Linked DNA regions of Anolis sagrei. The protein of the gene in region 1 interacts with the protein of each later gene in a biochemical or structural test. Links are inferred from orthologs where the notes say so. Each region holds a gene or a part of one and is shown in the gene's direction. Other genes may lie near its edges.

The links. The genes of interacting proteins can lie anywhere in the genome.
Region 2: the proteins of PIAS3 (region 1) and MITF form a complex in vitro, tested with the Homo sapiens proteins (2 studies listed by BioGRID). The link is inferred for Anolis sagrei from reciprocal best matches to the Homo sapiens genes PIAS3 and MITF.

Annotation. Positions count from the first base shown.
Region 1 is NC_090032.1:21,886,000-21,893,340, forward strand, and holds the start of PIAS3 (E3 SUMO-protein ligase PIAS3), read left to right. Parts: upstream 1-4,229; 5' UTR 4,230-4,313; coding exon 4,314-4,337; intron 4,338-7,341. Other genes in the region: ANKRD35 (ankyrin repeat domain-containing protein 35), read left to right, coding at 722-787, 1,863-1,925. UniProt on the Homo sapiens protein: Functions as an E3-type small ubiquitin-like modifier (SUMO) ligase, stabilizing the interaction between UBE2I and the substrate, and as a SUMO-tethering factor.
Region 2 is NC_090022.1:38,276,117-38,284,301, forward strand, and holds the start of MITF (microphthalmia-associated transcription factor), read left to right. Parts: upstream 1-4,991; 5' UTR 4,992-5,184; coding exon 5,185-5,288; intron 5,289-8,185. UniProt on the Homo sapiens protein: Transcription factor that acts as a master regulator of melanocyte survival and differentiation as well as melanosome biogenesis.

The DNA of each region.
Region 1 (7,341 bases):
TATTATTATTATGAATTTTCTTGCAATTATTATTATTTATTTTTCCTGCAACATTAATAATAATAGCAGGAAAATTAATCATAATAATAATTATTATTGCAGGAAAAATAAATAATAATAATCGCAGATTTTTCCTGCAATTATTATTATTATGAATTTTCCTGCAATTATTATTATTATTTATTTTTCCTGCAATAATAATAATAATAATAATATTTTCCCTGCAATTATGATTATTATTAATTTTCCTGCAATTATTATTATTTATTTTTCCTGCAATAATAATAATTGCAGGAAAATTAATTATTATTATTATTATTATTATTATTGCAGGAAAAATAAATAATAATAATTGCAGGAACATTAATAATAATAATAATTATTATTGCAGGAAAAATAAATAATAATTGCAGGAAAATTAATATTAATAATAATTGCAGGAAAAATAAATATTATTATTATTAATAATAATAATAATAAATAATGTAGGATAAATGAAATATTCACAGAATATTCAACAGCACATACACTAAAATTGGAATGATACAGATTAGCAGAATTAACAATTAATTGAAAATCCAATTGGATATATAAATAATTTATCAATTACTTTTCCACCATCAACATTTAATAATATTAATATTCCTAGAATGCAATATATTCCTATTTTTCTGCAAATATTTAATATTAATAATATTTATATCAACATTTATCCTAACAGGTGGCCCAGAAAAACCATCAAGAGATTGTGGCCATTTACCGAACTCACCTGCTCAATGCGGCCCAGGTAAGACTCATATTATTATTATTATTATTATTATTAGTTCCCATATTTCTCATTATTTCTCTTGTCTTTTGGAGGCAAGTGGGAATGTTTCAATTGGCATTGAATGGCCTTGCATCTTCAAAACATTTATTATTATTATTATTATTATTATTATTATATAATTATTATTATGCTATTATTATTTCCAATATTTTCTATTATTTCTCTAGGTTCTCCAACAATATTTAATGCTATTATTATTATTATTATTATTTCCAATATTTTCTATTATTTCTCTAAGTTCTGCAACTATATTTAATAATAATAATAATAATAATCCTCATCATCATCATCATTAAATACTGAACCTAGAAAATCCTAGAGAAATAATGGAAAATATTGGAATAATAATAATAATAATAATATAAATATCACATTTATTATTATTAAATATTATTTATTTTATATAATTATTGTGCTATTATTATTATTATATAATATTATTTATTTTATATAATTATTATTATGCTATTATTATTAATTTCCAATATTTTCTAGTATTTTTCTAGATTCTCCAACAATAATTAATTTAATGCTATTATTATTATTATTATTATTATTATTTCCAATATTTTCTATTATTTCTCTAGGTTTAACAGTATTTAATTTAATGCCATTATTATTATTATTATTATTTCCAATATTTTCTATTATTTCTCTAGTTATTATTATTATTTCCAATATTTTCTATTATTTCTCTAGTTATTATTATTATAACCAATATTTTCTATTATTTCTCTAGTTATTATTATTATTTCTAATATTTTCTATTATTTTATGTGATTATTATTATTATTATTATTTCCAATATTTTCTCTAGGTTCTCCAACAATATTTAATAATAATGATAATAATGATACTATTAATGTTATTATTATTATTATTATTATTTGCAATAATAATCATATCATTATTATATATTATTATATTATTTTTGTGATATGAGAGCCAGCTTATGGACCTCATTTGCTGTGTCAGTATAATAAATAATAATAATAATAATAATAATAATAATGAAAATATGTCTCCAATTTAGGGCTTCATGGACAAAGAGGTGCACGAGATGCTGCTGCGGATCCTGAGGACAAATGACGACTGATGGGCAGAAAAATAAATAAAATGAGATTAAAATAAAAGTCAGTGGTCATCCTTTGTGATATTATACATTTTTCTCAGGGGAAGGGCTGCGAGTTATGGTTCTGAAAGTGTTCTACCATACAAGTCCCGTATCCACAGGGAAAGATTTCCGAATGTACTTTGGGAACAGCACACTACAGCAAACTCGGGTGGTGATGGCATGATCGTCAGCATAGATGAAGCTCTCTATCCCTTCTGCCAGTGGCTGGTCATTCATGTCAATGTTAAACTTGAGGAACCGTATTAAGAGGCATTAGGAAGGTTGGGAAACACTGACTTAAAGCTTTGGAGAGCTTCTGTTCAACCATTACAAAGCTCTCTGCTTCGGTGGTGATGGCACGATCATCAGCATATGTTAAACTATCCCTTTTGGCAGTCGCTGGCCATTTGTGTAGATGTTAAACACAAGGACGTGTATTAAGAGGCATTGGGGAGGTTGGGAAACACTGACCTAAAGCTTCGGAGAGTTTCTGTTCAACCATTACAAAGCTCCTTGCTTGGGCAGTGATGGCATGATCATCAGCGTATATTAAACTCTCTGTCCCTTCTGGCAGTGGCTGGACATTTGTGTCAATGTAAACATGAATGCTGCAAGCTGGTTTTCCCTGTAATAGGCAGTAAGAGAACCTAAAGCTTTGGAGAGCTTCTGTTCAACCATTACAAAGCTGCCTGCTTGAGTGGTGATGGCATGATCATCAGCGTATATTAAACTTGCTGTCCATTCTAGCAGCGGCTGGTCATTTGTGTCAATGTTAAACATGCACGGAGTAAGCACACTCCCCTGATTCAGGTCGTTTTTCTATCTTCGCCATCTGCTTCTCTGGCCCTGAAACTCAACAGAAAAGCTCCTGTTTTGTAGCAGATTTCCTATGAAGTCCTTTTTGATTTTATACATTTTTCTCTGCATTTTATATGTATTAGAAATCAGTCGATTTTCCCTGTAATAGACGGTTAGAGCACTTCAAGCTTCAGAGAGCTTCTGTTCAACCATTACAAAGCTCCCTGCTTGAGTGGTGATGGCCTGATCGTCAGCGTATATTAAAGTCTTTTTCCCTTCTGGCAGTGGCTGGTCATTTGTGTCAATGTTAAACATGAGGAATTGTATTAAGAGGCATTAGGAAGGTTGGGAAACATTGAGCTAAAGCTTTGGAGAGCTTCTGTTCAACCATTTCAAAGCTCTCTGCTTGGGCGGTGATGGCACTGTCATCAGCATATATTATTATTATTATTATTATTATTTCCAATATTTTCTATTATTTTATGCTATTATTATTATTTACCAATATTTTCTATTATTTCTCTAGTTTCTCCAACATTTTATTATTATTATTATTATTATTATTATTATTATGCTATTATCATCAATATTTTTATATTATTTCTCTAGTTATTATTATTATTTCCAATATTTTCTATTTATTATTTATTATTATTATTTCCAATATTTTCTATTATTTATTATTATTATTTCCAATATTTTCTATTATTTATTATTATGCTATTATTATTTCCAATATTTTCTATTATTTCTCTAGTTATTATTATTATCATCAATATTTTCTATTATTTCTCTAGTTATTATTATTATTTCCAATATTTTCTATTATTTATTATTATGCTATTATTATTAGCAATATTTTCTATTATTTCTCTAGTTTCTCCAACATTTAATAATAATTATAATTATTATGCTATTATTATCATCAATATTTTCTATTATTTCTCTAATTATTATCATCATCAATATTTTCTATTATTTATTTATTTATTATTATTATTTCCAATATTTTCTATTATTTCTCTAATTATTATTATCATCATCAATATTTTCTATTATTTATTATTATTATTATTTCCAATATTTTCTATTATTTATTTTTATTTTTATTCTTTCCAATATTTTCTATTATTTATTATTATTATTCTTTCAAGTATTTTCTATTATTTCTCTAGTTATTATTATTATTTCAAATATTTCTATTATTTCTCTAATTATTATTATTATTTCCAATAATTTCTATTATTTATTAATATTATTATTTCCAATATTTTCTATTATTTATTATTATTATCGTTCTTTCCAATATTTTCTATTATTTCTCCAGTTTCCCCAACATTTAGTAATAACTATTCCATCCTATTCTGCGTCTGCTGCGAGGGTTAGCTCTTTAGCGACGCTCCCTGGAGCTTCCCAAGCCGTTCTTTACCGAGGCTGCCTTCGGCCCCGCCCCTTTGTGGGCGTGGTTTCTGGAGGCCCCGCCCCCTCCTGCGTGGCTTTGGCTTCGGCTTCTTCTGCGCCTGCGCCTCAGCTTGGGAGTTTGCCTCCGCTCCCTAGCGAGGATGCCTCAAGATGGCGGAGGCGGCCGAGCTGAAGGTAGGCGGAAATCGGGGAGCGGGCTCCGAAAAAGGGAAAAAGCCGGCCTCGGGGGACCACGGGGGTGTCCCCAAAGGAAGCGGGGTGCCCGAAATATAGGGGGGCCCGGGAAGCCCGGCTCGGGGTGAAAAAGTACCGCCAAGGAGGCTTCGTGAGGGGAAGTAGGCCGCACAAGATGGCGGCGATTCGGGCTTGGGAGAGGGCGGAAGTGACGTCACGCAGGAGGAGGATCTCAAGGCAGAATGGTCAGGCTGATGTCAATAATATATAATAATAATGCCGTAAAATAAATATAATTATATTAATACAAGAATAACAGTATTTAATGTAGTATAGTTATAATAATTTTAATTAAAATAATATTAAATAGTAATGTAATATAATATTTATTAAATAATATTAAATAATAAAGTAATATAATAAGATTGATTAAAATGATATTAAATAGTAATGTAATAAATATAACATACTATAGTAATATAACTTAAAATATTAAATAATAAGGTAATATAATAATATTGATTAAAATGATATTAAATAGTAATGTAATATAATAAATATAATAAAATATAGTAATATAACTTAAAATATTAAATAATAATATAATATAATTAATATAATATAATATAGTAATATAACCCCTGCCCATCCTGGCTTCTGAAGGAGGCCAGAGGGGGATTGGCCGAGTGGGTGAAGGTGGTGGTTAATGCCTCCCTTCGGGAAGGCAGAATTCCAGCCAGCTTAAAGCAAGCTGTGATAAAACCGCTGTTGAAGAAACCATCATTGGACCCCACTCAATTTGACAACTTCCGGCCAGTTTCCAATCTCCCCTTTTTGGGCAAAGTCCTGGAACGTGTGGTGGCCTCACAACTCCAGGTATTCTTGAGAGACACGGATTATCTGGATCCGGCACAGTCTGGTTTCAGACCGGGACATGGTACCGAGACGGCCTTGGTCGCCTTAGTGGATGATCTGCGCCGGGAGCTCGACAGGGGGAGTGTGTCCCTGTTGGTGCTGCTGGACCTCTCAGCGGCCTTCGATACTGTTGACCACGTTATCCTTCTGGGACGCCTCGCGGGAATGGGTCTTGGAGGGACTGTTTTACGGTGGCTCCGGTCCTTCCTGGAGGGTCGCACCCAGAAGGTGTTATTGGGGGACACCTGTTCTACCTCACAACCTTTGTCTTGTGGGGTTCCACAGGGTTCAATACTATCCCCCATGCTGTTTAATATCTACATGAAGCTGTTGGGAGAGATCATCTGGAGGTTCGGGGTACAGTGCCATCTGTACGCGGATGATGCCCAACTCTGTCACTCCTTCCCACCTGCTACTAAGGAGGCTGTCCAGGTCCTGAACCGGTGTTTGGCCGCTGTGATGGTCTGGATGAGGGCGAACAAATTGAAATTAAATCCAGACAAGACAGAGGCACTCCTGGTCAGTCGCAAGGCCAAACAGGGCATAGGGTTACAGCCTGTGCTGGATGGGGTCACACTCCCCCTGAAGACACAGGTTCGCAGCTTGGGTGTGACCCTGGACTCATCGCTGAGCCTGGAACCCCAAGTTTCAGCGGTGACCAGGGGAGCATTCGCACAGCTTAGGCTCATGCGCCAGCTGCACCCGTACCTTGGGAAATCTGACTTGGCCACGGTAGTCCACGCTCTGGTTACATCCCGCTTAGATTACTGCAACGCTCTCTATGTGGGGTTGCCCTTGAAGACGGCCCAGAAGCTTCAATTGGTCCAACGCGCGGCAGCCATGTTACTAACAGGAGCGGGATGCAGGGAGCACACAACGCCCTTGTTGTACCAGCTCCAGTGGCTGCCGATTTGCTACTGGGCTCAATTCAAGGTGCTGGCATTGGCCTTTAAAGCCCTAAATGGTTCTGGCCCAAGATACCTATCTGACCGCATCTCGGCCTACGAGCCCACCAGGACTTTGAGATCGTCCGGGGAGGCCCTGCTCTCGATCCCGCCTGCCTCACAGGCACGCCTGGCGGAGACGAGAGACAGGGCCTTCTCGGTGGTGGCTCCTCGGCTGTGGAACGCCCTTCCCGTGGACATCAGACTGGCTCCTTCCCTAAAATAATAATACTGTAAATAATTGTAATTATATTAATATAATAACAGTATTTAATACAGTATAATTATAATAGTACTAAGGCAGAATGATGAGGTTGATGTAAATAATATTATAATAATAATATAACAATAATAATGTAATAATATAATAATATAGTAATATTATTAAAAATAATAATATTATATTATATAATAATATAATAATAAGGTAACAATAATAATGTAATAATAATATAGTAATGTTATTAAAATAATAATATAATTAAAATAATGATACAATAATAATATAACAGTAATAATATAATAATATAGTAATATTAAAAATAATAATATAATATAATTATATTACATAATAATATAATATTATAATAAAAATATATAACAATATAATTAAAATAATGATATAATAATATAACAATGATAATGTAACAATATAGTAATATTATTAAAATAATAATGTAATATTATTATAAAATATATAATAATATTATTAAAAATAATAATATAATAATATAATATAATGCCTCTAGACCATGGCCATATAGCCTGAAAAACCTACAACAACCCAATAATAATAATAATAATAATAATAATGCTGTAAAATAAATGTAATCATATTAATAGAAGAATAACAGTATTTAATATAGTATAATTATAATAATAAATAATACTAAATAGTAATGTAATATAATAATATTGATTAATATGATATTAAATAGTAATGTAATATAATAAATATAATATATAGTAATATAACTTAAAATATTAAATAATTTAGTAAATATAATATAATATAGTAATATAAAACATTAAATAAAATAATAAATATAATATAGTGATATAACTTAAAATATTAAATACTAATGTAATATAATAATATTGATTAAAATGATATTAAATAGTAATGTAATATAATAAATATAATA
Region 2 (8,185 bases), on another chromosome or scaffold:
TTCTTATGCCAAAAGAACGAGGGAGAGAGGAAGGCATGCAGTGGTTGGGAGCCCTCTAGAGTCCCCTGCGGAGTGAGAAGGACAGAATATAAATGTTTCAAATAAATAAATATTTTTTCCTGAGCATGTCAAGTTAACACAGTAACCTCTGCTTTGTGTAAACATAGTTGATTCTCGCATAAGCTGAAGCTGATGACATGTCTTTCCACATCTAAAGAGTGCTGTGACCTTGGCAGTCGGTAAAGACATTTGGATTTTGAGGAAGTCAATGACAGCACCTCTGATGTTTTTTTTTTTGTCGTGTGAGGAGTGACTTGAGAAACTGCAAGTCGCTTCTGGTGTGAGAGAATTGGCCGTCTGCAAGGACATTGCCCAGGGTACGCCCAGATGTTTTGGTGTTTTATCATCCTTGTGGGAGGCTTCTCTTATGTCCCCACATGAGGAGCTGGAGCTATAGAGGAAGCTCATCCATGCTCTCCCCAGATTCGAACCTGCGACCTGTCAGTCTTCAGTCCTGCCGGCACAGGGGTTTAACCCACTGTGCCACTGGGGGCTCCTACCTCTGACAATGTGCAAAGCATAATATCTTGGATATGAAATTTCAAGTCTCCTTGCCCCCAAGGAAGTCACAAAGTGCTATCCTTTGAAGAGCTTGAATCTCATTGGTTTTTGAAAGAAACGATTTTTGAAATAGGGTCTGATCAAGACGTTTGGAGGCCCTAAACACTTAAAAAAACTCTGATGCACCTGATATATCTTTAATTAAAATATATCCAATAACAAACTGTGAAGTAAGATATTATTTTTCTTTTTGTAATAGAAATAAAGCAAACATTGATACATATATACATACTCATAAACATTGTTAAACAACAACTACATGACTGATACACACTTTCTCCTACAAACATACATCCCTGCTCTAATTACATATAAGACTAAAATGGAAACATACGTACATAAACTAGTTTTAAAAGAGAATTTCCTGCTTCCTTTTTGTCGGTTATTCTATAATGTAACATGTTTTCTTTCTCCTTCTATTCAACAAATTATTTACTTCTACTTGTTTTTGCATTAACAAATCAGTATCCCAACAGTTTCTGTCCCCACATTGTAAAGTATTATTTTATGAAATGAAAAAAAATGGCAGTAAGATGGACAAGTGTCCTTATTTTTGTATACTTCCACATCATTTATATTTGAAAAGATTTCACCTACGTTTTTCTAATAGCAAAGTCTTTTATGGTGGGAGCCCCATTCTGTGGAACCATTTGCAGCAATGAATGTTTTAAGACCAAGTGTTTTGTGGTATTTTATGTATTTTAAATTGATTTAAATAATTTAATGGTTTATTTTTAGACATTACTATGTTTAATTCTATTTTAATGTTTATAGTCTTTAGGTATATTGTATGGTTTTGAGCATCGTTTACCGCTTTGAGTCTCTTTAAGAGGAAAAAACAGTTGTATATAAATATATTGATTAATATAATAAGAAACATAATAATAACAAATATAATAATATTAACATTATAGATTTTAATACTTTTAATGGTTTGTTTTTAGATATCACTAGGTTTAATTCTATTTTAATGTTTATGGTCTGTTTAAGAGGAAAAACAGTGGGATATAAATCTAATAATAAATCTAAAAATAATAAACCTAGGATATCACTAGATTTAAGTCTATTTGAATGTTTATTGTCTCTAGGTATATTGTATTGTTTTGAGCACCGTTCATTGCTTTGAGTCTCTTTGGGCCCAGACTATTTGAAAAAACCACCCTGAGTCCTCCAGGGGAGAAAGGGCAGGTTATAAATAAAGTAATATTATTGTTATTTAAGAGGAAGAAACAGTGGTATATAAATCTAATAATAACTTTAATAATCAAAATAACAATATTATCACTGTTCATCACTTTGAACCTTTTTAAGAGGAAAAAACCCAGTGGTAAATAAATAAATAAATCTAATAATAATAATAATAATAATAATCTGCAAAGGCTCTGGCATAAACCAGTACAGGTGGTCCCAGTGGTCATCAGCACACTGAGTGCCGTGCCAAAAGATCTCAGCTGGCATTTGGAAACAATAAAGCATTGACAAAATCATGATCTGTCAACTACAAAAGGCCACCTTACCTGGATCTGTGTGCGTCATTCGAAAATACATCACACAGGCCTAGATGCTTAGGAAGTGTTCGACTTGTGATTTTGTCATACGAAATCCAACATATAGATCTCGTTTGCTGTGACATATTGTGTTTTTGTGTCAATTGACTAATAATAATTTTAAAAATCTAATAATTAGGTCCAAGTGTCTGGGATTCTTGGACCTAATATGTATGTTATATACAAATAAATCTAATCATAATAAATATAATGTGCAATAAATATTTTCCGGACCCAATTCAAGGTGCAGGTTCTTACCTACAAAGCTCTGAACAGTTTGGGACCTGCCTACCTGCGTGACCGCATTTCTGTGTATGAACCCACACGATCTCTTCGATCATCTGGAGAGGCCCTACTCGTGCTCCCACCTGCATCACAAGTGCGATTGGTGGGGACGAGGGAAAGGGCCTTCTCGGTGGTGGTCCCTCGACTCTGGAACTCACTTCCTAAGGACATCAGGCATGCCCCAACTCTGGCAGTCTTTAGGAGGAGCTTGAAAACGTGGTTGTTCCAGTGTGCCTTCCCAGAATAATGAACCCTTAGCATTATGTCCTCTAAAAGCACTTTATCCTGTTTTAGGACTGCTTGTATGTTTCCACTAACGCCCCACCTCCTCTATCTTGTTCATGCCTAGCATTATTTTTTAACTTTAATTACATTTGGCCCAGCCATAGATTTTAAATGTGTTTTGTGTTATTGTTCAATGTTTATACTATTTGTGTATGAGATTTATTTTAATTGCTTTGTATTAGTATTTGTATTTTGCTTTGTATTATGGTTGTTATTGCTTGTATTGATGTATTGTGGGCTTGGCCTCATGTAAACCGCACCGAGTCCCTTGGGAGATGGTTGCGGGGTATAAATAAAGTTTTATTATTATTATTATTATTATTATTATTATTAATGCACATTATTTATTTATTTATACATACAATATATTATATTATTAGCATAGCACTTTATCCTTCAAAGCACTTTACATTTCTTTAGGTCTGCTCATATGCCCTTCCACAAACACCGGTGTCACTTTTTGTCCATGTCCCAGCATTATTTCCAATTTTAACTCTACATTTGGCCTTCCCACTGTTTTTAATTGTGTGTTGTCTTATGGATAATGTTGCGTATTTTACTGTCTATGTTTTTTTAATTGCTTGTATTGTTGTTATTATTGCTTATATTGTTGTGTTTGGGCTCGGCCTCATGTAAGCCGCACCGAGTCCCTTGGGGAGATGGTAGCGGGGTACAAATAAAGTGTTATTATTATTATAGCACAATATTAGTATTATATATTACTATATTGTACTATACCACTATACTGTAATATTATTAGTAATATTACATGCAATATCATCATCATCACCATCACTTTATTTCTTAATTAGTCGCTCTCCACCAAAGTGCTCCGAGCGACTTACAATTTAAAATAGCTTATACACAATATAAAACATTCAATATAAAAACATTCAACATAAAAACATTCAACATAGAAACATTCAACATAAAAACATTCATCATAAAAACATTCAGCAGTGACTATGGCAAAATTTGATCTGATTACTTAAATGCACAACCAAACAGCCAAGTCTTGAGCGCTTTTACAAAAGGTTGCAACTCCTACATTCCTCTAATATATGGAGGCAATGAGTTCCACAGAATTGGAGCATAGATCGAAAAAGCTCTACGCCTTGTAGCTTCCAAATGTGCCTCCCTAGGACCCGGCATGTAGAGGAGATTTTCCTGGGTGGATCGAGGTGATCACTGATGGGGAAAAGGAATGAGGCGGTCCCTAAGATATAAAGGTCCTTGGCCATTTTGAGCTCTAAATGTCAAGATCAGTATCTTGTAAGAGATCCGATGTTCTATTGGTAGCCAATGCAGTTGTTGCAGAATCCGTGTAATATGGGATCTTATAGATGATCCTGCTAGCAGCCTGGCTGCCGCATTTTTGACCATCCGAATTTTCTGGGTCATTGACTTCGGAAGGCCAGCAAATAAGGCATTGCCTCGTGGTGACTGTTGCGTGGATTACTGTTGCCAATGCTTCTACCGAAAGGTAGGATGCCAATTTCCTTGCCTGTCGAAGATGAAAAAAGGCCTGCTTACTTATGGCAGTGATCTGGGCCTCCATCGTCAACTATGAGTCCAACACAACCCCAGGGCTTTTAACAGTGGCGGACGGAACCAGAGCTTCCCCATCGAAATCAGGCAAAGACTGGGTTAATTCTGGTGGTTGGCTGGGCCAGAGAGTATCTCAGTTTTTGCAGGATTGACTTTTAGGGTGCTCGAAGCCAACTCATCACTGCTTCCAAACACAGCTTAAAGTTCTCAGGAATATAAAATATAAAATTATTATATTGTATTATTATTAGTATTTTATTGTATTACATTATAATATTATAATATTAGCTCCAGACACTTGGACCTAAGGTGCATGTGTGCTGCATTTTTATGTTAAATGTCAATATAATAAATATATAATAATATTGACATTAAACTTTTGCAAATTGATGTTTTGGCTGCCTCTATTTATTTATCTTGAGTACCATTTAGGCGGGAGAAAAGCTGACTGCAAACCCAATAAGTCAATAAATGCTGCCCTTTCTTTACTTATTGGAGATAGAGAGATAGAGATCTCGAGATATACCCTTGGCTTCTGCTGACATTGACAGGACGCACGCGGGTGCCTTTCTCTCCCTCTCCCGCCTCCTTCTGCTGGGCATCACGGCCGCGCGGCACCACGGGAGCTGTAGTCCCGCGGCCGGGGAGGCGCCATAGCGCGCGCCCTCGCCAGGACTACGCTTCCCAGGGAGCCCCGCGAGGGAGGTGTGTGTGGCGCGTGTCCCCGCTCGAGGGGCGGCCGGGCGAGGGAGCGCGCCGAAGAGCTGCTGGCAGCCAGCGGGCAAAGTCGGAGGAGGAAGGAAGGTTGGGGTGGCGCAGGCTTTTGGCCCCCGTCTCCTCCCGTCCTTTCCCCCGTTTGCATATTCTGCCCGGGGAGACGGAGCGGAGCGGGGGCGCCATGCAGGCGGAGTCGGGGATCGTGGCGGACTTCGAGGTGGGCGAGGACTTCCACGAGGAGCCCAAGACCTACTATGAGCTCAAGAGCCAGCCCCTCCCGCGCAGGTGAGCCAGGCCTCCCCAGGGAAACCCTCTGCTGGGCCTCCTCTCCCCCTTCGCACACTCTCTCTCTCGCTCTCTGCCTTCCTTGCCCTTCTCATCTCCTGCTCTGACCTCTCAGCCCGGCCTCCCCTTGCTGCACTCCTCCTGCTGCCTGACCCCATGCCACTGGAGCGAGCCTCCTCCCTTTGCTTTCCTGATGCCAGGTCAAGCGAAGGAGAGCTTCCTTCCCTCCCTCCCTCCTTCCCTTCCCTTCCCTCTCTCCTCCCTTCCCCTTCATTCTCACTTTCCTTTCCACCCCTTTCTCCTTCCCTTCATTCTCCCCTTCTTCCCTTCCTTCCCTCCTTTCCTCTCCTCTTCATTTTCTCCTTCCTGTCCTTCCCTCTCTCCTTCAATTCCTTCTCCCCTTCATCCTTCCCTTCCTTCCCTCTTTCCTCCCTTCCCTTCCTTTCCCATCATTCTCACTTTCCTTCTCTTCCCTTACTCCTTCCCTTCATTCTCCCCTTTGTCCCTTCTTTCCCTCCTTACCTTTCCTCTCTCCTTACTTCCCTTTGCCTTCCTTCCTTCTTTCCTTTCTTTCTTTCTCTTTCTTTCTCTTTTCTTCCCTTTCTCCTTCCCTTCATTCATCCCTTCCCTCCTTTCCTTCCCTCTCTCCTCCCTTCCCTTCCTTTTCCTCCATTCTTGCTTTCTTTTCCTTTCTCCTTCTCTTCATTTCCCCCTTTGTCCATTCCTTCCCTCTTTTCCTTTCCTCTCTTATTACTTCCCTTCCTTTTCATTCTCTTCTTTCTTTTCCCTTTCCTCTTCCCTTCAGTCTCCCCTTTGTCCCTTCCCTTCCTTCCTCACTTCCATCTCTCCATTCCTTTGCATTCCTTCTCAGTTTCTTTCTTTCTTTGCTTCCCTCCTTCTCTTCCTTCCCTGTCTTCTTTCCATTCTCCCTCTCCTTTCTTTCCTTTCATTCCCCCCTTCATTTTCTCCTTCCTGTCCTTCCCTCTCTCCTTCAATTCCTTCTCCTCTTCATCCTTCCCTTCCTTCCTTCTTTCCTCCCATCCCTTCCTTTCCCATCATTCTCGCTTTCCTTCTCTTCCCTTACTCCTTCCCTTCATTCTCCCCTTCGTCCCTTCCTTCCCTCCTTTCCTTTCCTCTTTCCTTACTTCTCTTTCACTTCTTTCTCTTCTTTCTTTCTTTCTTTCTTTCTCAGTTTCTTTCTTTCCTTCCCTTTCTCCTTCCCTTCATTTTCCCTTTCGTCCCTTCCTTCCCTCCTTTCCTCTCTCTTTACTTCCCTTTCCTTCATTCTCTTCTTCCATTCCTTCCTTACTTCCATCTCTCAATTCCTTTGCATTCCTTCTCACTTTCTTTCTTTCCCTCCTTCCCTTCCTTCCCTTTCTTCTTTCCATTCCCTCTCTCCTTCCTTTCCTTTTCTTTCTTCATTTCCTCTTTCCTGCCCTTCCCTCTCTCCTTCCCCTCATTCTCCCCTTCATCCTTCCTTCTCCACTTCCCTTCCCTCCCTTCCCTCTCCCCTTCTCTTCTTCCTTCCACCTCTCCTTTCTTTTGCATTCCCTCTCAATTCCTTTCTTCCCTTCCTTACCCCCTCTTTCCTTCCCTTCCTTCCTTCCTTCCTTCCTTCCTTCCTCCTGTTCCGTCTCTTCTTCCTTTTCTTTTCTTTTCTTTTCTTCCTTTCCCTTCATTCTCTCCTTCCTCTCCTTCCCCCTCTCCTTCCTTTCATCCTTTTCCGCCTCCCCTCCCTCCCCTTCCTATAATCTTCTCTTCATTTTCCCCTTCCCTCTTTTCTTCTCCTCTCTCCTTCATTCTCCTTTTATCCCTTCCTTCCCTTCCCTTCATTCTCTCCTTTCCTTCCTTCTTTCCCTTCCCTCTCTCCTTCCTTTCCTCCTTTTCCTTACCTTTATTCTGTCCTTCCTTCCCTCTCCCCTCCCCTCCCCTCCACTCTTCCCTTCCCTCCCTCACTTCCTTCCTCCCCTGCCCTCTCTCCTTCCTTTCCTTCCCTCTCTCCTCCCCTTCATTCATTCCCTTCCCTCTCTCCTTCCTTTCCTTTCATTTATTTCCCTTCATTCTCTCCTTCCTATCATTCCCTCCTTTCCTTTCCTCTCACCTTCCCTTCATTCTTCCCCTCATCCCTTCCCTCCACCACTCTTCCCTTCCCTCCTTCCTTCAAACTTTCCTTTCCCTTCTTTCTCAAATTCTTTCTTTCTTTCCTTCCTTCCTTCCTTCTCTCTCTCCCTCCTTCCCTTCCCTTGCCTGCTGTTAGGAATTGTGGAAATTGAAGTCCAAAACACCCGTAGGACCCAAGTTGTCCAATGCCTGCTCCAGAATGAATGCAGTTTGACACCACTTGAATTGTCATGGCTCATTGCTGTGGAGTCCTGGAGTTGTACTTTTACAAGAACTTTAGCTTTCTCTGCTAAGGGATGCTGGTTTCTCACTAGATCACACCTCCTATTGTTCCAGAGCATTGAGCCATGACAGATCAAGTGGTGTCAAAACTGCATCAGTTCTACAGTGTAGACACCCCCCCCCCCCGGCCTTCTTGGGGAACATAAAATGCCAGGGCCTTCTCTCAGGTCCCATCTAACTAAGGTGGAAACTTGTTCCCTTATATGTTTTGGAGGTGGTAAGAGTTTTCCCTGACTTCTCAGGACTTTGGTATACTTCCCCACCCCCCTCACCCTTCTGCAAGAGAGGTGTATGTAATATGTGTGGGTTGACACAGATGCTGTGCAGCGTGCCAAAGCTGAGGAGGAGGCGGTGCCCATTTGTTTTGAGGTGTGAGAAGCGTGCGTGGCAGAAACAAAAAAAACAAGAAGAAGAAAAAGGAGACTCAGCAGCTGTAGGTTTGGCTCTCCCACCGCACCAGCCTTCTTCTCCTTCGCTTTGACTTGTGTTAAAAA